Callithrix jacchus: one gene and its partner. The protein of the gene in region 1 binds, or shares a complex with, the protein of each later gene. Links are inferred from orthologs where the notes say so. Each region holds a gene or a part of one and is shown on either strand. Other genes may lie near its edges. The genes, in order: NPR3 and NPPC.

Evidence for each region.
Region 2: the proteins of NPR3 (region 1) and NPPC are in contact, whole or in part, in a crystal structure (PDB 1JDP), measured with the Homo sapiens proteins. The link is inferred for Callithrix jacchus from reciprocal best matches to the Homo sapiens genes NPR3 and NPPC. Residues at the interface, in NP_001191304.1 of Homo sapiens: Asn110, Tyr138, Ala141, Pro142, Arg145, Ala161, Gly163, Phe164, His166, Glu170, Tyr171, Tyr204, Lys208, Leu209, Arg211, Tyr214, Phe215, Leu217, Glu218, His221, Glu222, Gln225, Ile233; in NP_077720.1 of Homo sapiens: Gly109, Cys110, Phe111, Gly112, Leu113, Lys114, Leu115, Asp116, Arg117, Ile118, Gly119, Ser120, Met121, Ser122, Gly123, Leu124, Gly125, Cys126.

Annotation. Positions count from the first base shown.
Region 1 is NC_133503.1:172,599,189-172,610,941, reverse strand, and holds the start of NPR3 (atrial natriuretic peptide receptor 3), read left to right. Parts: upstream 1-5,476; 5' UTR 5,477-6,575; coding exon 6,576-7,356; intron 7,357-11,753. UniProt on the Homo sapiens protein: Receptor for the natriuretic peptide hormones, binding with similar affinities atrial natriuretic peptide NPPA/ANP, brain natriuretic peptide NPPB/BNP, and C-type natriuretic peptide NPPC/CNP.
Region 2 is NC_133507.1:153,335,978-153,347,766, reverse strand, and holds NPPC (C-type natriuretic peptide), read left to right. Parts: upstream 1-3,990; 5' UTR 3,991-4,137; coding exon 4,138-4,227; intron 4,228-4,675; coding exon 4,676-4,966; 3' UTR 4,967-4,986; intron 4,987-8,003; 3' UTR 8,004-8,510; downstream 8,511-11,789.

The DNA of each region.
Region 1 (11,753 bases):
TCTAAATAGGATTTAGTCTGAGGCACTATCAGAGCAAAATGAATTCTGCTAAAATTGAAGCAAGAAGAAACATTAAATTTATGGTGACGCTTGGGTGGAAAAATGGTGAAATGCTTTAGAAAAAGCCTGTGAGGACAATGCCTTAAGGAAATCAGAAGTTTGCAAATAGATAACTCATTTTGAGAAGGGACAAGATGATGTTGATAATGAAACCCACAGTGGCAGACCATCCACATCAAGTTTGAGAAAAAAAAAAAAACAAACACAACAAATAACCTTGTTTTTGCTTGTATCAGTCCATTCTCACACTGCTATAAAGAAATACCTGAGATTGGGTAACTTATAAAGAAAAGATGTTTTATTGGCTCACTGTTCAGCGGGCTCTGCGGGAAGCAAGATGACTGCCATCTGCTCAGCTTCTGGGGAGGCCTCAGGAAACTTATGATCAAGGCAGAAGGCAAAGGGGAAGTAGGCATGTCATACATGGCTGGAGCAGGAGGAATAGAGATGGGAAGGGGGAGATGCTATACACTTTTAAACAACTAGATTTTATGAGAACTCTATCACCATGGCAGCACCAAGGGGGATGGTGTTAAACCATGAGAAACTGCCCCCATGACCCAATCACCTCCCACCAGGCCCCTTCTGAAATACTGAGGATTAAAATTCAACATGAGATGTGGTCAGGGACACAGATCCAAACTATATCAATGCTGTAATTGAAGAAGACCAGCGATTAACAGCAGAAACAGCAGTCAACACCATAGATATCTAAATTGGTTCAGCTTACATACTTCCGATGGAAAAATTAAAGCTCAGCAAATAGTTCTGCCAATGGGTGCCAAAACTGTTGCAACCAGATTCATTGTAGACAAAAGTGGAACTTCCAATGGAAATTTTAAACAAGTGAAAGATCCCAAAGCGTTTGTTTGGAGAATTGTAACAGGACAATATAGTTTGAATATATGTCCCTGCCAAATTTCATGTTGAATTGTAATCACCAATGCTGGTGGTGGGGCCTGGTGGGAGATGTTTGTGTCATAGGGGAGTATCCCTCATGACTTGGTGCTGTCCCTGGCAATAGTGAGTGAGTTCTCATGAGATCTGGTTATTTGACTGTGTGACACCTCCCTGACAACCCTCAACCCTCTCTCAGCATGTGAGATGCCTGTTCCCCCTTCACCTTCCGCCATGCTTGTAAGCTTGCTGAGGCCCTCGTCAGAAGCTGAGCAGATTCTGGTGCCATGCTTCTTGTACATTCTGCAGAACCATGAGCCAATTAAATGTCTTTTCTTTATAAATTACCCAGTCTCAGGTATTTCCTTATGTTACTGCAAGAATGGCCTAATACACAGGAGATGAAACACTGCTTTACCAACATGATCCTGAAGATAAACACAATCAAAGTAGTGGCTACTAAGAGGTGGAAGTGGTTGAGAGCAAAGGTCATAGCAATGGTTTCTTGGAATGCTTAAGGCATTTTGCTTGTTGACTTTCTGGAGGATAACTTTTGTTTATTATGAGGGTGTTTTGACCAAGTTAGCCAAAACTTTAGCAAAGAAATATCTGGGAAAGCTTCACCAGAGACTTCTTCCCTACCATGCCAATACTCCTGCTCATTCCACTCATCAAACAAGGGTGATTTTTTGATGGGAAATCATTAGGTATCCACATTATAGTCCCAATTGGGCTCCTTCTGACTTCTCTTTGTTTCCTGATCTTAAATAAATCTGTAGAGGGCACTCATTTTTCTTCAGTTAATAAAGATTGCATTGACATGGTTAGGTTTCCAGGACCCTTAGTTTTTTTAGGGATAAACTACACGATTGGTATCGCCACTCAGAAAAATGTCTTGAACTTGATGGTTGAGAAATAAAGTTCATATTTTAAATTTTTATATTTTAATTCCATTTTCCATGAGCTTTTTGAAGTCCCCCCATATTCTCACTTTTTTGTGAATATCATAATCTACATCAAGTAACTTATCTATAAATCGATGATATGAAAATTCTTCATATGGTTTGCAAATATCATGCCGGTATTCAGGTTAAATCACGATTAGGTTTTACATTTTTCAGAAGTGTTTTTAATGTCACTTTGCCTCAGAATATCTTCAAAGAAGTGAAAGATTGTAGTTGATGGAAATCTAAGAGGATTATAATAGAGAAACAACTCTGTGTTTTCAAACCCTTAAGGTCACAGTTAGCTGCGGCTTCTGATGAAATGGAATCATAGAAAATATAAAATTACTATTATTTATAGCGCTGGCAAATTAAAATCATAGATTTGTATAATAGAAGAAAAGGATAATTTAATAAAGTCCCTGCTAAGGAAACTGAGAACCTAGAGGCAAAGTTTTAATTTAATTTTTTGGCATCCATTGATTCCCCCCCCCCAACTTCTTGAATAGTTCCCTCTAAAACAGCAACTATATGTTAAGAATGAAATCTCAACACTCATTACATTACAGAAATGTTCTTGAATTATTTGTAATGTTCTTTCATCTTTTCTGCCTCTAGGGGGGAGTGTGTTTTCAACAATTCTGTCCTCAGAAGGTATTTATTGTGGGCCACAGGCTTCACAGGGGTATTCTTGAATACGACATTAGGGCTGGCTCAACAAGGGAGAAGAGGCCCTTTGAAAATCTGGACGGGCTTTTACGTTAGAGGCTGCAGTCAGGATTCCAAGTGACAAGAGTTACAGAGACTGTTACAGTTGGTGGAGAAAACTCACTTCTGATAGAATTTCTAACAATACTTCACAGAATCACATGTTAGGTTGCCTATATTAGTGGTGTCTTTCCTGGTAGTGAGAAATAACATAAAGACAGTAATTTCATTTTGCAGAGCTGGAAAACAAACTGTTGAATACTCTATAGAAAACTTGCCACCTTAGAGTGGTAGCTTAAAACAACACAAAAAACCCAAACAACAAAACATGGCTTGTGGATATTAAGTAAAACATTTCTAAGCCTCACAAAAAGTCTATTCGTTTCTGAAATACCATGTTTAGGGCCAACATTGCCTTTCTTTCAAATGGCCAGTTTTTTTTTATTGTGCATCATTTTCTCATATCGTTCCTTTGTTTCCTTCGACAACTGAATCCAGAAAGGAAGCAGCCAGTATAAAGGTCATCACTCTTTTGAATGTTACAAAAGTATTTATTTTTTCCCCATTTTGGGGGTTTCACAGAATTGAAAGAAGTAGTATTTAAAAATTGAGTCAAAGAAATAAGTTATTTCTATTTTTTTTCCTCTTTTTTTTCTTTTGGTTTGTTTTGTGATTAAAGTGCTGCAAAAATTCTATCATAAAATATTATTTTTGGGTTTATTGTGCTGTATTATCCTCAAAACTTAGCCATATATATATAAATTTGATATAAAGAATGTTATTACTTAGAGTAGGAATTAGCTTTGTTCCTAACACTTTTTACATGATGTCACTGATGGTCCATGGTTTATTTTGAATCCAATCCCATTTAAAAATATTCTCAGGGGATGAAGACATCCCTTTTGGGCCTTAATTCATCTAGAGAGTGAGGGGTGTCAGGCTGGGTGACTTCTTAAGTCTTCTGGCCTGAAGATTTAGAACTACATATTTGCACAAACTTTCAGTTGTTTACAAAAATTCTAATTTGATGGAAAGTAAACAAACTTATAACATTAAAATCCATACACTAATGTTACTTGGTGGGTCTTATAATCTTGTGATTCTTTTCATTTGAAAAGCCTTTAAAAAAATTTTAACTTTTGCTCGTTGGAATTTTTAAGGGGGTGTTTTGAGCCTCAGCATAGAGCATAATACGGGCTTTTTGTTTTTCGTTCCGCGGAGTGGTTTGGGGGTTCTTCCCTTCCGCAGCTTGGTTTTGTTGGTGCTCTTAAGTGTGACAAACTGCAAGTCGACAGCTCTTGTCCAGAAGGAGAGGCTACAGGGCACTCACCCTACCGTGAGCGCCTGTTGAACTGTGGGCAAGGCTGGCTAGCATCTGGGATGGGACAGGCGTTCACACCGGGGCCACTGAAATCCCAGACTCTCCGCGTAAACCCACACCAGACATGGCAGAATCAAATCGACATCGGCTGGTGTTCCCCACACGCAGGGCACACTGCGAAGTAATAGGAAACCCTGGTTCCTTCATGTCTCCTGGCAACCAGTTTTGAAATCGATTAAGCCCCTTGGAATTGGAGATGTAGCCCTTGTTTTGTTGCTGTTCTTTTTTTTTTTTTTTTTTTTTTTTTTTTTTTTTTTTTTTTTTTTTTTTAACCTATGCTGCCATAAACGTAAACGCTTGCCCTTCTGCAAATTCAGGAAAGAATTAATTGTTGTGAAGCACTAAAGCTCAGTTTCCAGTGTGTGTGTATTACCCCGTTGGTCGAATGAAATTTTATATAGATGTCTCTTTTGCTCCCTATTTAGTGGCTCTAATCAAATAAATGAAAGTTCTCGCAGTAATTAGAAGCTCCTACATAACAGTGAAGATTTCGGGATCACAGTGCATAATCTGAAATCTAAATGACCCAGAAGCTGAAACGTTACCCACAATCACACTGACGGTTCCAGAAAGAGCGACAAGGAGAGTGCTGTTAAGGGCGGCGAGCGCGGACGCCAGAATTTGCCGCATCCCCAGAAACCCCAGTTTGCCTTTTCACCGCCAGAAGCGAGAGAACCCGAGCGCGTTGAGGCCTCGGAGTAAAAACGCAGCGTCTGGGACTGCGGCTCCAGGGTTGAGTCGGGTGCAAGTTTCTGCCGAAAGAGGGCGTTGGTCTGAGACCAAAAGAAAATGTGTGGACATGGGCGCTTAGTCAAATAAGACCGTTTTAACACATTTTCAGTGGATTTCGATTTGCGGGACTTAATTGTCAGAAATCTCTCGCCCAGTGTAGCACGTTCACATTGCAAAGGACGGGTGCGGTATGCATAGAAGTCCATCTTGACCCGCCCCGCCCCGCGGCGGACTCTGGCGATGCTCCTCTGGTCACCAACTCCTCCAGAACCGCTTCCCTCCGGTCTCCACCGCTGTTGTGGCTGTGGCCAGTGGTAGGACTGGGTCTCTGAGACAGGACCTTTCTTGGCGTCTCAGAACCCCAGCAGTACCCCAAGAGCGCCTCGCGCGCTCCAGAGGAGGAGCGCTGGGATCTCTGAGCGCTCAGGGTGGAGGGGAACGTGCATCGAACCCAGGGGACCTGCCGGAAAGGTTTTGGGAAAGACAGTCTCTTTATTTAGATACCTGGTTTAGCAAACAAAGCCCAAGGACGCTTTGGGGATGCTTTCTGAGCTTTGTGACACCTCCAGAAGTTGAACCTTTCCCTCGCCTTTGGGAGCAACAAGTTTCGCTTTCCTGCTCTCAGTGCGCGGAGGGTCTGTGGACTGGGACACCGTGGCCCGGCACCGCTGCGATTCCAGCGCGAACCTGCGTGGCCCAGCAGGAGGGGCTGGCTCGGGGCTTAGGAAGGCGGGGTGTGGGTGACGCCCGGGCCAGCCGGGCAAACCAGGTCCGCGAAGGAGCCATCTGCACTGGAACCTTGATACTGGTTCCCTGACCTTGCGCGGAGGGACCAGGAAGATCAGGTGCTCGCGCCGCGTAGTTGCGTCAGGAGGGAATGTGGCCGGAATAAGAAAGGTGAGAGCAAGCGGCACCTGAGGATTTTTGCACTGAAACCACAATTTCTAGAACCATTCCTCTCCCCGAGTCCTGTTGTTTTGTTGTACATGGTGTGTGTGTGTGTGTGAATGCGCGCGCGCGCATTTCTCTACTTTCAAGGACATTTCCTTCTTTAAAGCCCGGAGCCTGAGAGCGTGGCAAGGGAGAGGCGGGGATCTCAGGCGCGCGGCGTGGTGGGGGCTCTCGCCGATGCAGACGTGGGCGATTTCAGCTTTAAGGAAAAGGCAGAGGGCTGGCAGCGAGTGGGGGTTAGGGACAGGGGAGCGACGGGTAGGGAAGGGGTGCGGGGAGGAGCCCTGATGTAATAATGTTAATGGGAGACTTCCCCAGCCCAGTCCCCACCTTTCCCCACCCCCACCCACCCCACCCGCTGGAAATACAAGCCCGGCCTCGGCGCGCCGTGTGTGGTGACACGCTCAGCCGCTGCCACACTATTTAAACGCGGGCTATGGATCCAGGAACCGGCGCGAATCAATGAGATCAAACGCGAGGGAGATGCACCGTCTATTACAAACACTTGGACAAGTCTAACTTTTTTTTCTTTTACAAAAACGCTTTCAAAAGCAACGTTAGCAACGCCCAAATAAGAAGCCACCTCTAAACAAAATAGTATATGTATAAAGGGAGGGCGAATATATATAAGTATATGTATGTATATTACAGACGCACAGGTTTACACCAGGTGAACTTTTTCTTTTTCTTTTCTTTTTTTTTTTAAAGAAAAACTAGTGACATTGGAGGGAAGGACTCTTCCTCTCCATCTTTTGGCGCGCCAGTGAAGGGGGTATTCTATTTTCTTAAAGCGCCCAAGGGGGCGCAGGGACCTTGGAGAGAAGAGTGGGGAGGAAAGAGGAAGGGTGGGTAGGGGGCACAGGGCGAGTCGGCGGCGAGGGCAAGCGCTTTCTTGCGGCACGATGCCGTCTCTGCTGGTGCTCACTTTCTCCCAGTGCGTCCTGCTCGGCTGGGCGTTGCTGGCCGGCGGCACTGGTGGCGGTGGCTTTGGCGGCGACTTTGGCGGAGACGGCTGGGGCGCGGGCGTAGGCGGCGGACGCCTGGAGAGAGAGGCGCTGCCGCCGGAGAACATCGAGGTGCTGGTGTTACTACCCCAGGATAACTCGTACTTGTTCTCGCTTACCCGGGTGCGGCCGGCCATAGAGTATGCTCTGCGCAGCGTGGAGGGCAACGGGACTGGGAGGCGGCTTCTGCCGCCCGGCACTCGCTTCCAGGTGGCCTACGAGGACTCGGACTGTGGCAACCGTGCGCTCTTCAACTTGGTGGACCGCGTGGCGGCGGCGCGGGGCGCCAAGCCGGACCTTATCCTGGGGCCGGTGTGCGAGTATGCTGCAGCGCCAGTGGCCCGGCTTGCGTCGCACTGGGACCTGCCCATGCTGTCGGCCGGGGCGCTGGCCGCCGGCTTCCAGCGCAAGGACTCTGAGTACTCGCACCTCACGCGTGTGGCGCCCGCCTACGCCAAGATGGGCGAGATGATGCTCGCCCTGTTCCGCCACCACCAGTGGAGCCGCGCGGTGCTGGTCTACAGCGACGACAAGCTGGAGCGGAACTGCTACTTCACCCTTGAAGGGGTCCACCAGGTCTTCGAGGCGGAGGATTTGCACACGTCCATCTACAGTTTCGACGAGACCAAAGACTTGGACCTGGAAGACATCGTGCGCAATATCCAGGCCAGTGAGAGAGGTGAGCAGGAGTGCGTCCCGGGCCCCAGGCCCTAACCCAACAGCTCTCCTTGGCTCTCCCTACACACCCGTCCACTCTGCAGACCCCACTCCCCTCTGCGGCTCTAAGGGCGGGTGCGCGCGGGCAGTCCTTCAGGTGTGCTCTGTGTGGCTGCGATGACCTTTGACGACGCCCATCGCGGTCGCGGGGTGTTTGTAGAGGGCCCCAGGGAGGTTAAGAATTTGGAGGGAGGGTGTCTGAGTCCGCAGCTCCTGTCCTGCAGGTGCTGTGAAACCACTTGGGTTTTTTTCTTCCAGATTTCTACTTTGCCAGCGCCCGGCTGGCGATTAGGGCGCGCATTCCCAGTGCCTGGCTCCAACCAGGGTCTGAAGCATCCGAGGCGGAAAGAGCTTGTTCCCCAGTCCTTTGCCCGCATGCGTCCCCTCTTAGGGCGGAAACGTCCGCGGACGCCCGGCAGCCAGGCGTCTCCACTTGGCTCGCCCGCTGTCGGGGTTTCACTGACTGCTGTTTCCACAGACCCCTGGTTTCTTTTAAAGGCTTGTTGAATCACTCTTCTCATTCCTTTCATTCCCCTTCCAGCCCCTTATAAACGAGCTTCTGTAGCTTCCACCAAAAATGCCCCTGTGTGTCTGGACTCTGGCGACACTCACTTTCCCCGGCGCGTTCTGCATCGCAGTCTCTAATGCGCCCAGAGCTAAGCTTTGCGGGAGCGCCTTTTGAAGAAACGGGTGCTGAATCTTCTTTCCACCTGTCTCCCAATTTTTCTCCATGAGTCTTTGGGTATTGGAATACAACTCAAACTGGACAAAGAACTCGAGGCAGAGGATGTGACTATGGTTGCAGGGAGCGGGTGGATGCGGGTGTGTAATCGACACTGTGGCCCTTTTTACTGTAGGGTAGAATCCGAGGGAAGGCGGGTTGAGATCCCAGCATAGCGTAGCTCCCTCCTCCCTTGAGTCAGGGATTGAGGGCAGGCATCGAGGGAATCCTGTCTCTGCTCCCCTCGGCGCGCACGCGCCTGGAATTTGAGCAGTGCAATCCCGGCAAAGCTCCCCGAGACCCCAGGGCCGCGCGGATGAGACCGAAGGGGAGCGGAGCTGAGCCAGGCGGGGGACGAGTCCACAACTTGGCTTGGCCAGGCACCTGGGCGCTGGTCATAGGGGATAGGGCAACCTGAGGCCGAGGGCCCCACGAATAGGTGAGAGTGGGCAGAGAAGCCATTGATAATGGCGCTGCAGCCATTGCCTTGCTATCCTGGCCACTTCGGACTCACCCTTTAGAGCAAAGAGGCGAAAGGTGTTTGGCAGTGAGAAAGCGTGGCCAAGTTTTGAGCTCTCGAACTCCAGGCTGTCTGTGCCGAATCCCTGCCAGACAAGCAGGCGGGTCGCAGGCTTCGCTGATTATGAAAAAGGGCACCTGTATCCAACAGCTGCGGACTTGCCACGGCTAGTCAAGGAACCCACATCTAGGCTCCCAACTCCCAGTTGCCGGGTTACCGCAGCCTCAATGCGGGAGTCTGCGCCCCGAGCTGCAGTGGCTCCCGGAACCCGCTTCTTCAGTTCTCGGCTTTCGAGGGCAAGGAGCTAGAAATCAGACTTACCAAGGCGGGCTGGGGCTGGGGGTGTGTCCCCCTACGGGCGAGATCCGCGGTTTGCTGACAGGTCCGTGATGCCACTGCCCGGTAGGTCCCAATGTCAGCGGCTGCCTCATCGCACATGGCCTAGGATACTAAACCAAGGGCAGTGTGACCTCAGAGGAGGTCAGATGGCGGCCCGAGGCCCCTCAGCCTCACAGCGGCTGAGGCCTGGGGGTAGGCGGGCAGCAGTGTCCTGGCGGGCCTGGGGACTGGTGCGCCCTGGGCTTCAGAAGATTAGGCTGCAGTCGGCTGTTGGGAATTACTTTTTAATTCCAAACGCCTCATAGAGTTTCCGAAGTCTTTTTGCTTCCCCCACCGCCAAGTTTGCATTGAGTGGTGAAAGTTGGCTTAACTGAACTGTATATTTTACAAGTGATAAGATTAGGATCTTACAATTCTTACTCTAAAAATATTTCCAACAGTGACCTGGCAGATATTTAGAAATATGAAACAAAACAGCTTCTCCTCCAATCGTTCCCCCACTTCCACCCCGAAATTCCTTACACTCAGGAGAGAAAGTTGCTTGATAACAAAGCTCTCTTAGGGGACGTTTTACAAACACAATGAATCACAGTTACTTTACCATGAGCAATTAATGCATTAAATAGGGCTTCAGTATGTGGTTGCAGTGGAGTTTGTGGCTCATTCACTGGCCGGGGGATCTCGGCCTCTCAGGTAAAGTGGGGGTAGTCAGAGCACCCACATCTTTTGGGAAGCTGGGAGGCTGAGGGGAGCTAACACAGGAATGCGTGGGAGCAGTGTCTGATGAATATGAAGTGCTCAATAAATGTGCAGTTTAATTGTAGTTATTATTTTATATATGATCATGATCAACTTTACCCCAGGAGTGAGGCCAGGCTATGGGAAAGAACCTTGGGCTGAGATGCAGATGCCTCTGGATTTGGCTGGTCTTATCTGAGTTTTCTTCTCTGTGAAACAATGTGTGGGGTGAGAATCAGGCCTCTTCAAACTGATATTCTCACTCAAGTGTGAAATGCAATGGACAATATTTTTGCTTTTGAAAATTCCCTATTAAGCATTATGAATTAAAGTAGAGGGAGTTTCTCCCTCTTTTGGTGAGAATGTTGGTATTACTTTTTTGGACGTAAGTTTCTCTTTAAAACCAAATCACAAATGTTTGAATTTCTTAGCAAGTAAAAAACTGACCATGCCAGTATCTCAAATAATAATGCGACTAAAATTTTACTTGGCATATTGTAGAAAGAAAGACTAACGGACATCCATTATTTTACCATCTAAGTCAGTAATTTAAAGTCATTTTTTCCTGTCATGTCTTTTGCTAATACCACTACAATAAACAGAACTGAACATGTGTTATTTTTAAAAGCAATTATCTTTATTTAAAACGAATTCACTTGTACAGCCAGCTACTGCCCTCATATTCCACACACTTAACAATAAATTTTGTTTTAAAGAGACAGGCTTAGAAATAATTTTTTCAAGCAATTAAAGTCAGTAGTTGTTTTGTGGATGCGCTTTATATGATGCAGAACCAGAAGTATCCTGGTTTATATCAAGAACTGTAGTTTTATAGTTTTAGTTATTAGTATGTCATTAATCTGGGCCTGCATAATGACAGTAGAGATAACAGTATTTAATCAATATAAGAGTCATTTATTTTTAGAATTTGTCTGGGGTAAATGATTGAGTGGTCAATCAGCAGTGTTTTTAAGGAAAGAACCCATGATAAGTGTAAAATAACACAGGAGTGGGGAAAAGAAGAGCTTTGTAGGCTGCAGTGTGGAAATTCTAAAGGCCTTTGGAGTAGATGGAGCTTTATGAACAACAGATACAAAGATGCAATCTCCATTTTGCAATGATATCCATTGCTATGTAGGTAGAAACAGCCATAGAGAAACCTTTTCTGAAAAAAATTAGATTTTCTTTTTACCAAAGTTTAGTTCTACAGCTATAGAAAGTGAGAAAACTACACAAGACTTATGAGGAGAAAAAGATTCCTGTCTCCTACTTGCCATGTTTCACTTTCTAGAAGCAACCATTTTCAATTCTTGTTAGCTGTTCCTGCAGGTATTGGCCTTTGTATCTTTTAATAACATGCTACTTTTTTTTTTCAGTTTTAGATCTTATCTCTTGGAATACCAGTGGAAGAAAATTTTCTTCTCGGTCATTCTACTGCTTGTTAACCACACATGGAAGTTCTTTCCAGTCATATTTCCGATATGGTTGTTTCCAAATTTTTCTCAGGAGGCTGAAGCAGGAGGATTACTTGAGTTCAAGTGTTTGAGGCTATGGATTGTACTATTTGAATAGCCACTGCATTCCAGCCTGTGCAACATAGCTAGACCCCATCTCTTGATCATTTTTTTTTTTTAGTTAGCCCAGTATTCAATATAAATATTATCATTAATTTCTAAATGATATTTAAGGTTAAGTCATACAGGCTCTTATGTTGACATTTCCTTTTTCCTCCTACTTATTTTCCATGGAGTTTAAAAAGTCTGTTTTTGTTTATTTGCTTAATTTACTATGGATTTTTAATTAAATAATCTTTTGATTCTTTATTTCAAGCCTCCTGAGTTGTTTCAGTTAGTTATTTTCCAGGTATTTTGCACAATTGCCACTCTGGGTTCTTCAGTATCCTCCTGGGGCTTCCATCACCTCTCTGTTGAGCTAGATCCCTGTGTGTTCCTCTTTTTTGATTATGCTTTTGTTTTGATGGAGCACATCCTCCAAGAGCTTTCTGAGAAAGGTTGAGTAAGACCTAAATTTTGAGAGCTTT
Region 2 (11,789 bases), on another chromosome or scaffold:
CCCGTCTTAGCTGCTCCTTCCCCAGCTTCCCAGAAGCCCTTCCACACACCTTTCTCCCACCAGGCATCCTGACCAGGGCCCACTCCCATCTTCCATCGCGTCCTGATTCCGGCCAGACGTTGCCTGTCCCAAGGAAGGGCCCCTCTCCAGTAGGTGTGAGAGTCTCACCTTGCCCTTCTGGGAGGAAAGAAAGCCTGAAGAGGGGCCCACAGAATGGGGTCCCGCCCTTCAGAGGGCAAGAAGGGAGTAAACAGTCCCACCCAAGCAACTCTCCGACGCTGAAGGCTCTGCATACCCCCAACCTACTGTGGCAGAGCCGATACCCTGGACTCACCCAGACAGCTCTCTGACACTGAAGGCTGGCTCTGCCTTCCACTTCCTGCTCCCTCCCACTCCCCCCACACCTAGCTGACCCCCTTCCCTTTGCCTCATCTTCAGGCACCCCCAATGAACTCATTTGCCCTTCCCACCTCCAAGAGCTCAGCAGTGTTCCCTCTCTCTGTCACACACTCTGCCTCCAGAACACCACCGAACTCAGAACTGCCTCTCCCCAGCCTGCCTCCTCTGGGCTCCCCTGCCTGAATCCCTCCACCCTCCCTAGGTCTGGGCACGTGGGGTTCTGCAGTCTCACAGGTCTCCTCTGCCCTCTGCGTTGCCCTTTGTGAGGTCTCGCATTTGGTTTTTCTCGAATAGCACCCCCCAGGCCTGACTCTAGCACATTCCACTGTTAGCCTGGTTTTCTTTTCTTTTCTTTCTCTCTCTCTCTCTCTCTTTTTTTTTTTTTGAGGAGTCTTGCTCTGTCATCCAGGCTAAAGTGCAGTGGTGCAATCTTGGCTCACTGCAACCTCTGCCTCCCAGGTTCACGCGATTCTCTTGCCTAAACCTCCCGAGTAGCTGGGACTACAGGCGCCTACCACCATGCCCAGCTAATTTTTGTATTTTTGGTAGAGACAGGGTTTCACTGTGTTACCCAGGATGGTCTCGATCTCTTGACCTCATGATCTGCCCACCTTGCCCTCCCAAAGTGCTGGGAAGCCTGGTTTTCTGTCAAGGGTTTCCTCTTCTCGTCCTTTCTCTTCCTGTGTTTCCAGGCTCAGCACAGACTTTTCCTTCTCCAGGAAGCCCACCCTGCTAGTCCGGGATGGAGGAGGAGCCTTCCTTGGGTGGCCTCAGCCTGAGCTGTCCCCTTCCCTGGTATTGTCCTTTTCAGCCTACGAAGCTCATGTCTGTCTCCAGTGGGTTCTTCCTGGCTGGGATGGAACCCTGCAGGCTTCAGGGATGCTCAGTAGATACTGGGGGGGAATCAGCGAGATCAGTGAAAATGACAGGATTTCTTACAGAATGACTGGGTCCTTGGGGCCTTTAAATTTCCTCTTTTGCCGTTAGGAGGAAATTTAAAATTCAGCAGTCAATAACATGACTTGAATAGCTCATATTCAGCTGCTCAGTCAGTTCAACTTTCCCAGCCCATGCCCCTGGGGCTTGGGGCAGAAGAAGCGGACTTCATAAGGGAAAAGAAGCAAGAAGGGGCTTGAGTCCCAAATGGAGGCCCAGGAGGAAGACAGGGCCTCCCCTGCAGCTCCCCAGGCAAGGAAAGCAAAAAGAGAGGGGAAATCTTTGTTTTCAAGGCAGATCTGTGCTAATGACACACCTCCACAGTCCCTCTAGCCCAGGCCTCTGACTCCCTCCCACCTCCCAGGCCCCAGCTAAGTAGAAGCTGCTCCACAGCCTGCCCTGGGGAAGCCTCCTTCTGCAGATGACCACCGCCCAGTGGCCAGGAGTGGCAGCTCACCAGATTTCCCTTCCAAAGAAGGGAACAGGCATTCAGGGTATTGGCTCTGCCACAGTAGTTGGGGGTGTCAGTTTTATTAATTTAGCTTCAAAGCTGAAACAGAGAGGAGAGCCAGATAGTCACTGGGCAATCACCTGGATGCAAATGTGTCCAGGAACACCAAAGACAGGAAAGACCGGTCTACGGACGTTCAGGTAGAAGGAAGTAGCCAAAACAGCGGAAGCTTCCGACCTGCCCTTAATAAGGGGCTTTAGAGGATGTACCACCCGCCCCTGGAAACCAGCCCAGAGCTTGACTCTAGAATCAATCTCTGTGGCTGTCCCTGGCTCTTTAAACAGGTATGAAGAAAGCACGTGTCAGAGAAGTTCCAAATGGTAACATCCTTCTTTGTATAGCAGGCAAAAAGCAGAGGGAACTTTCACAGCCCACCTGGATTCCCTCCCTATTCTGCCTTCTAGTTCCTCTTCCTTTCTCCTCAAATGAAAGAGTGGTGCCACTCTATGGGTGTTAATGTGGAGAGGAATTGGGGGGCTGCGTGGAGGTGGTGAGTCAACTCCAGAACCCACAAAAGGTACCCTGTTGATGTCTGGATCTTCCTGGAGACCAGGAAATTTTGCTGCCCCAAACTCAGACCTCAGGTGTAGGCTGTTTCCTGCACAAAGGGACCTGTGGAGTGGTTGGTCCAGCATTGTGACTCAGGGTATAAGAGGGAAGGGGTAGCTTGAGAAAGGGGCCAACAGATCAGACAATGATGCTGCTGCCTCTGCAGCTCTGGGACCAGGCTTACTGCCACTGAAGGTAGAGGAGCCTAGGGGGAAACCTGGTTCTCGAAGCCCCTCTTCACTCCAGCTGCCTTCCTGCCTCAGGCACAGCCTCCTCTTCCTGGAAAAGCTCATCTGGGCTTGGAATGGTCTCGACGCTTGGGGGCAGCCACTGCACTCCTGCCGAAACATTTGTTCTCATCTGTCCAGCCTGAGTCCTGCTCAGCAGCAGCCAGTCATAGATTCTTGCACCTCACTCAATTTGGGGGATCTGGGCTGTCCGCCTCTGCGGCTCACACCTCAGTACCCATGTGCCCACCACACTCCTTAGTGCTCAAGGGACCAAGAAGCCCAGCGCAAGGCTTGCAAGCTCATGACCGGCAGGGATATGTGGCCGTGTCCCGAGAGCCACGAGGACCTTTCTACAGCTAAAAATGGGAATTTGACCACCTGTCATGGCCAGAAGAGGCCAGACTGGGCCGCTGGCTGGCTAGGAAGCTCCTTCCCCAGCCTGGGAAGGTGCACAGGATACTGGAGCGGGTTTCCCTCAGCAGCGGATCTTCGCGTGGGTGCAGGCAGGGTCAGGCGCTCATTGTTCCCACAGACGGAATTCACCAGCGGAGTCAGACCCAGGGACGTTCTTGTGTAGGCGACACCGGCTGAGCGTGAACCTAGAGCCTTAACTGGCGAGCATAGGATGCCGCCAAGCACACGCATGAACATCGACGTCTTGGGCCGCCCGCGCTTGCAGTCCCCTCGTTGTCGCCTCGCGCTCAAATACTCAGGCTGGCTGCAAGCTTGTACTCTCCGATGTGGAAGACTTGCGCTCCCCATTGCGGCCCAGGCGAACCCCGCTCTCCCTGCGCCTCCCACCCCAGTCCTCCAACCCCATCCTCTGCTTCCCCAACCTAGCGAGGCCGCCTGTGGTCTGCCCTCCTGCCCTGGCAAGCAGGTGACAGGCAGAGCTGCTATGCCATCCCGCGCCTGTCAGACGACAAGCAGGGCTGCGTGGATTTCGGGCAGCACCAACTTTCTGCCTGTATGACTTCGGGCAAGTGACTTCATTCCTCTGAGCCTATCTTTGCACCTGCAAAGAGGGCTACAGATCCCTTCCAGGTAGGGCGAGTGTGGTGAAGACCCAGCGCTTTCACAGGGCACCAGGCGCACCGATGCTCGGCAGGCCAGGTCGCGCGTTCGCTGCAAATGGAGTTCCCCAGGGCGCGCTGCTTTGCAGCTCCAAGTGCAGTACGGAGCGAGCCCGCCGAGCCGCGGGATCCCTCCGGGGTGGGTTGAGGGAGGGGAGCCCCCCCCCGCGGCCCCCTCCTGGCCCTTGGCGCTGCCGCGTGCGTGGTGCCATTGGCCCGGGCTGCCCGGTGGGCGGGAGGATGACATCAGCGGCAGGTTGGATTATAAAGGCGCGAGCGGAGTCACGGGCCCAGAGCGCACCCAGCCGGCGCCGCGCAGCACTGGGACCCTGCTCACCCTGCAGCCCCGCCAGCCTGCTCCGCACCTGCCTGCCGGTCTGCCCGCCGACTCGCGCGCCCTCGCTGCCGCCTGTCTGCGCCCCTCGACCCCAGCGGCACCATGCACCTCTCCCAGCTGCTGGCCTGCGCCCTGCTGCTCACGCTGCTCTCACTCCGGCCCTCCGAAGCCAAGCCCGGGGCGCAGCAGAAGGTGGGTGCTGTCTTGGGGACACCGAGCCTGGGAGAGGCTTGGGAGGCTGGGGGGTTGGAGAATGCGGCGCGCAGGACCCAGCAGAGAGGAAAGGAAAGCGGCCCTCTCCTCCGAGATGCGCGCGGGCGAGAGCCGGGGAGCCCTCGAAGCGCCTACTCGGGGGTCCCTATCCCCAGCCTCGGGAGAACGTCGGCCCACGCGCAGCCCCCTGTCCCAGTGTGGCCTGCCGGTCGAGCGGCGAAGGAGGGGAGGGCAGGGGGCTTCCGGAGTGAGCGGCGGCGGCGGCCGCGTGGCAGGTGGATGAGGGGCCAAGGGGGCCGGAATCCGTAGCGGCGGCTCCGGGCTCGGGAGGGACACCCGGCGCCGGCGGGCACGTTGGGCTGGAGAGTCAGAGTCTCTCGTGCTGCAGCCGCGCGTCCCTTCACCTACCCGCTCTTTCCTCGGACAGGTCCCGCGAACCCCGCCGGGAGAGGAGCTGGCGGACCCCCAGGCTGCGGGCGGCTGTCAGAAGAAGGGCGACAAGGCTCCCGGGGGCGGGGGCGCCAACCTCAAGGGCGATCGGTCGCGACTGCTCCGGGACCTGCGCGCGGACACCAAGTCGCGGGCCGCGTGGGGCCGCCATGTGCAGGAGCACCCCAACGCGCGCAAACACAAAGCATCCAACAAGAAGAACTTGTCCAAGGGCTGCTTCGGCCTCAAGCTGGACCGAATCGGCTCCATGAGCGGCCTGGGATGTTAGTGTGGCGCCCCCTGGCGGCGGTGAGTACTGCCGACCCCGCGCCCACCCCCAGCCCGGCCCCGCCGCCCGCCGCCCAGCCGGCCTTCAGAGGGGAGAGTGCGAGCCCGCTATGCTCAAGCTGTGCTAGCCGTTTGCCGGCCGCCCCCTTATTATCCCACTTACAGACAAAGAAAGCGAAGGATAAAGTGATCGGGGAACTTTGGCAAGATCAGAAATGGCTCAGCCTGGTTGAACCCACCTGGCTTCTTTTGGAGAAACAGAAACAAGCTTGGTGGGGTCTTACCCACCCCTCAACCGTAGCTGAACTAGCAGCATTGGCCCCGATTTGCCAGCTGGTGGGGGGATTGAGGGGAGATCATGGGTTTGTGGGAGCAGAGAAGGAAAGGTACACCCAGAAGTCCAGGGGACATTCATCATCTGCCGGCCACCATGCCCCCTGTAGGGAGAATAGCCCTCTGGCACTGTCGGGACCCTCTTCTGCCTGGGGCACTCCAGTTCCTGTCCCTTCTCTAGACCCAGGCAGTGGGCAAACTGGTCTGTCCAGGGTCCTGAGGCAGCTGCAGCCTGGTGGTTTCAGGGTGAACCTCAGTGCTTGTGGCTATTTCAGGGAAAAGGAAAGACACAAAGTAACTCAACCTCAAACTCAACATGTCCCAGAGTCCCTCACCAACCCTCTCCCCCACCCAACCGGTGCCCCAGGCTCTGTTTCTGGTGTGGGGTCTCACATGGCGCTAGGGTGGGAAACCTCTGCCCTACCATCACACTCTGCCAGGTGCCACAAGGTGGTAATTTCCAGCCGCAGAGGGCCTCACCTCTCCTTCCCTCTGCTCTATTCCTGCCACCTGACAGTGCCCACTGAGTAACAGCACCCAGTCTCTGACATCGACAATCATGTGCGTTAGGATCAGGCTCCCAAGGCTTTCTGGCTTTCTTGCCTCCAGCTCAGCAGCTGCCACTGCCTGTCCCACACCTTGACTGTCCCACCCCAGGCCATGGGCAGGCTGCTGTCTCCACCCCAGAAACCCTCGTCAGCATCCGATCTTCACCCAGAAGGAAACGAGAGCGCCTCTCCAGCACACTGTAAAAAAATAGTTTTTACAGTACAGAACATGTTTGCACAGTGTGTGAACCCATTCACCTCCCCGTATTGAACAGCTTAAGGCACTCCAGGACCCACTGCACCCCTAACAGACTCTTAGAAATATTTGTCAATCACCAGAGAAACCGGCACTCCCACCTACCCTAGGTTTTAACCAGCGCACTTCCTCTCTTTGCAGCCAGACCTCACTGGGCTGTGGGCTTCTCCCCAATTCTGCAGAGGCTTCAGTTGTCTGTGACCTTGACTGTCCCTTGCACAGGGAGATAAATGATTCTGACACTTGGGAACCAGACTTCAGTAGCTACCCTTGGAATGCCTTTGCTCTCTTTTCTCCTGTCTAAACAAGAAAGAGATAATCTGAGGCCTCAAATTTTCAATTTGACTTGTGTCAAGTTCAAACTTTCGAATCTGAACAAATGGTAGTGAACCTTTCATGGGTTCATGCCTGGAATTCACATCCCCATAGGGCCTTGTTCTTGGGCCTGGCTGTCTGCAGTCACCAAGTGATGGCCAAAAGGGTGGAGAAAGATGCTATGTAGGAGGAATCCACATTGCTAAGAATTCTCGACCCCTTTGATGGGGAGTAGGTTTCATTAATCTCCTACAAGCTCCCTTAGCCTGGATGAACACTTACCCTCAACCCCTCAACCCCAGCTTACCCCCAACACCAGCTGTTTTATTATTTGGAAGGGGGGTGTGGTTTTATTATTTTGTTTTTTTTTTTTTAATGAAAAATAAAAACCTCAACCTCACTGCCCCCCATTCCCAGTGAGAGAGCAGAAATCCTTCCTGCAGGTTCCTGGTGGTGATGCCCAGGGTGTATCACTGGGCTTAAAGGAAAAGACAGCTTCGATTTTTCACGTTAAGGAAAACTCAGTGAGGTTTTGGCCGTAACTCCATGCATGCGTTGACTTGGGCTCTGAGCACCACCATAATGATGGTCGCAGATGGTTCTAGGTGTTGATTGTATAACGCTAATGACAGAGACAGGGGTGTCTGTAACCTGAATGAACACTTTGGCCCTGGGGCCCAGCGACATCACAGAGAGCTGTCATCTGTGTAAACACCTGGCAGAGCCAGAGACGGGAGTGGGGGAGACTTCAAGCCATTCTGGCCCAGGTTCATTCAGGGCATGCTCTCCTTTGGGAGGGCACTGAACGTCCTAGAAGGCCACCTTCCTTGGTCCCCGGGGCACCCATATACCCATTAGCAGGGACTTCACCCTGACAATCCTCAACCCAGAGCCCATGACTGTGCATCCCCCAGGGCTGGTGTGAGACACCATTTCCTCTGCCTCTCAAGGGGACCTGAATCCCTTCCTCTGCGCAAACAGCTGGGGAAGGAGGTGCTGTTTGCCGGGTGGCACCTGAGACACAGACTCTGCCGATGCCCAATCCGAGACTCCCTGTTGAATCCAAAAGCCAGCCACAGGGAGGTGGCTATTATCCTGTTTTATGGGTGAACACTCCAAGCCATCCAGGGTCATCTAGGGAGTCAATGTCAGGGTAGAGATGTGAGCCCAGGCTTCCTGACTCCTGAGATGTCTCCTTTCTCCTTCCATCCACAGTCACCCATACACACAAAGCCCAGGCAAGCACTGACTGAGGGTTTATGTCATAGCAAAAAAGGGATGGGAGATTTTCCATTCTCTCTGTGCCTCCCTGAGGGCCAAGGGCAAGGCCTGTGGTTAGGCTGAGGGGGAAGGAGGGCTGCGGACACTCTGTTTCCACCTGGGCTGGGATGGCAAAGCCAAGGGGGCTGGGGAGTGCGCAGAGGGAGCCCCCCTCCGCAGGAAGGCCTGGTCAGGACAGGAGAGGGGCAGGGGCATCCCTCAAGCTGCTGTGGGAAGGGGAGGAAAGGGTCTAGAACCACCCAGCCCGCTGGGATTTCTCAGCTAAGAGGCCAGAACTGAGCATGCATGTCCATTCTGTGTTTCAGGATTGGAAACTGGCTCCGTTGTGCTGAGGTCACCTTTGGTCATCAGCCTCCAGCATCTGGAAACACCTCCAACGCAATGTGGCTTTTACATTTCTTTCTTTCTTTCTTTTTTTCCTGGTACTGGGAATACATGACACCAGCTGTTTTATTATTATTTGGGGAGGGGGTTGTGATTTTATTGTTTTTTTAAAATGAAAAATAAAAAGTTATATATTATATATATATTATATACATGAAACACACACACCTACACCGACTCGATGACGAGGGACAGTTTTTAAGAGACTGACAGAACCAGCTGTAAAACATTGCTGTTTGTAAATTCATGTCATGCCTAAATGTATTTATGTTGTAAAGCTATTTATAATGTTTATAAAGAGATATTTATAAAAGTTTTATTTATGTAACTAAATGAAAGAAGTCAATCATTGTAATGCTTTTGTCCTAACTAGTTGAAAAAATGTAAAAAAAAATGTCATTCCATGAATATCTTGAAAACCATCTTCATTTACTTGTCTTTATTTTTTCGGACTTAGGCTGAGGCAGAGGGAGAATGTGGAGAAAAGGCATTTGCTTCCAAATAGATCTGACAGCCAGATTCCCAGTTCCGGATTTATCTGTGTCAGGATGCCCTGGAGGGCTTGTAAAATACGGATTCCTGCCTCCACCACCCTCTTATCTACCGAATCTTATAGGACTGGCTGTACAAGTTTTGTCCCAAGTGATTGTTGACCAGCTCAGCCAGGTCAGGAAGCTCTGCTCAAACATCTGACTGCTACAAAGTCAGACATTATGAATTAAATTAATAATGGCCAGGCACGGTGGCTCACACCTGTCATCCCAGCACTTTGGGAGGCCAAGGTGGGTGGGTCACCTGAGGACAAGAGTTCGAGACCAACCTGGCCAATATGGTAAAATCCCAACTCTACTAAAAATAGAAAAATTAGCTGGGTGAGGTGGTGGGCACCTGTAATCCCAGCTACTCAGGAGGCTGAGGCAGAATTGCTTGAACTCAGGAGAGGGAGGTTGCAGTGAGCGGGGATCACAGACTGCACCCTAACCTGGGCAACAGAGCAAGACTCCATCTCAAAAAATAAAATTAACATTGAACTCAGCTGACTTAGGGTCCTGTAACTTCTGCTCCATCTTCTGCTATTAGTGGAGGAAGTAGCTGCTAAACCTCTGTTTTGGGAGATTTAGAAGGCTTCTGCATATCTTGCAGAATCGATCACGTCACCTTACAAATCCCAGCAACTCTGTTTTCTAGACTAGCTCACAAAGCCCAGGGTGGGTAGTTTCTGCCTCGTAATGACTGCCATGGTCAGCTGCGAGCCAAGACCTCGAAGAGGAGAAGGTATTGTCAAGTTTCGTATCTGTAGTGTGCTGTGCTTTGTGGGAGGGTTGCGGGTTTTCTTTTCACTTGAAGCCACTGACAATTACATTTCCTATGCCCCATGGAGCTATGAGTGTGGAATAATGAATATAATTTAGAATTTATGAATATAATTTAGATGAGAATCTCTTTTCCTAAAACCAGCAGGAAACTTTGAAATAATTCCAAGGTGTTCTCACTACATGCTCGGTTGGATGACAGCCCTGTGCAGCCTTCCCTGTCATCCGTCGCCTGATAGGGGAAGGTGGGGACATGCCCTCTTGGGCTGATAACACCAGTGGATTGGCAGCGCCCTGCTCAGGGGATTTGGGAGCAGTGTGGCCCTGTGCTCATGGATCTGCAGGCCTGGAGGAAGAGTTCCAGAGAAAAACCTGTCACTGGGGAGGTAGCCAGTGGCACCTGGTCTTTCTGTGGGTGTTTGAGCCCCAGGACCTTTGCCCCAGGTAGCCCTCCAGCAGCAACCTCTCAGGTGGCTGGGCAGCCAACACAGTGACATTGCCCAGGTGAGAAATCCTCTTTTAGACATGTTCCTGGCTGGGCATGGTGGCCACACCTGTAATCCCAACAGTTTGGGAAGCCAAGGCGGGCAGATCACTTGAGCCCAGGAGTTCAAGACCAGCTCCAGCAACTTAGCGAGACCATCTTTACAAAAAATAACAAATTAGCTGGGTATGGTGGTGCCCACCTGTAGTCTCAGCTGCTCAGGGGGACGCTGAGATAGGAGGACTGCTTGTCCAGAGATCAAGGCTGCAGTGAGCTGTGATCACCCCACTACACTCCAACCTAGGCAACAGAGTGAGACTGACACGCACAAACACACACACACACAGAGAAAGAGAGAGAGAGAGAGAATGCATGTTCCAGCTTCTCCAACTTCCCTCACAAGTTCATTTCCTCTCAACTGCCACAGGTGCCCCAGCAGACACTTCATCCCCCTTCTTTGGGGGCCCCTGTGGAAGCCACCCAGGGCACGGCTCCCTTCCTCTGCCTCACTCCCATCTCCGAGGTTGGAAGATCAGGGGTCCACATCATGGACGCTGACAGATCCAGCACCCCAGCCTCGCCAGTGAGTGTCCCAGCTCCCTGTGCTGTCTGCAGACCCCTTACAGGGAGGGAGCAGTGGGTGACACTGCCAGCTGTGCTGGTGCGTCTTCCCAAGGCCCAGAGGCAGAACAGATGGCAAACCATCTAGGGAACCATCATGAGAAGCTAAAGGGTTTTCCCTGCGGACAGTGCCCGGGCTGCCAGGATTCTGGGCTGATGCGGCCGCTCAGGCCCAAGCCACACACACTGTCCTCCTAAGTGCTCTTGTCCTGCATCTTTGCCTGCAAACAACACACACAGCCCTCTGCTGCCAACTTTGGCCCTTGCCAGGCAGAGGCCAGCCCCTCCGCTGTTGCTTTAGGATGCAGTCATACAGCCAGTCCTCCCCTTTTATACCCAGACCCGAGGTCCTGAAACTACCACCTCAGCAGCGACTGAAATATTGTTGCAGCCAGGGGTTTCTGCGGGAAAGCCCAGAGGGTTGACAGATGTTTGATAAGTAACCTGAAGTGTATTGACACCCCGGAGATGGCCCAGGTGCTGGGACCTGAGAGCTTCCAGCCTTGGGCCTCTGTCCTGGCCTCCTTCCTCTCAGGGAGCCTCTCATCTCCAAGCTGCCTGGAGTGCCTGTGACTTCACTCCCACCTGAGGTGACAACAGGCAGGGACAGCTCGGAGAAACAGCGCCCAGACGGGGCTGGCTGGAGTCCCGGTCCTCTCAAATCGGGCACCTCTGCAGGGCAGGAAGACATGGTGATCACCTCTCAGCCTTCCTGCTACCATCAATTGTAGAAGAGTCCCCGGGAAACACTGCGGTGCTAGGCAGGCCAGAGTGCAGCAGAGGCAAAGAGTGTGTCAGCCCGAGGGCCTCATTTCCTTTCCAGCAGCACAGCCATTGGGGAAGTCAGGGGCCCACAAGGAAGAGTTGCCCGCCTGCCTGGTCCCTGGTGCTGTAGCTGTTGACATGTGGAAACCCTGGTCCCGTAGTGCTAGGCCCGGAAAGCCCACCTTGGGCCCCCACACATGCCTGGAGGACAGGCCTGGTCTGTCAAGCCTATCTGAGGACATCATGCTGAGAGGCAGCACTGTGGGGCAGAGGTGGCACACCCGCCATGCAGGTGGTGTGGCCCCGGTGAGGTGGGACAGTTCCACCAGGCCTACAGCAAGTGGTCTGGGAGCCTGCCTTCCCCGCTGAACAAGCAAAGGGTCCTCCCCTGGCAGTCACAACCCCACAAGGGTGGTGGAAGACAGGGCTCTGCACAGGTGGGGCGCCCTGGGGTGATCAGAGAGGCCTCAATATCCAGACCCTGTTAGTGCCTCAGAAAGAGCTGTTAGTCCAGTCAGGAGAGT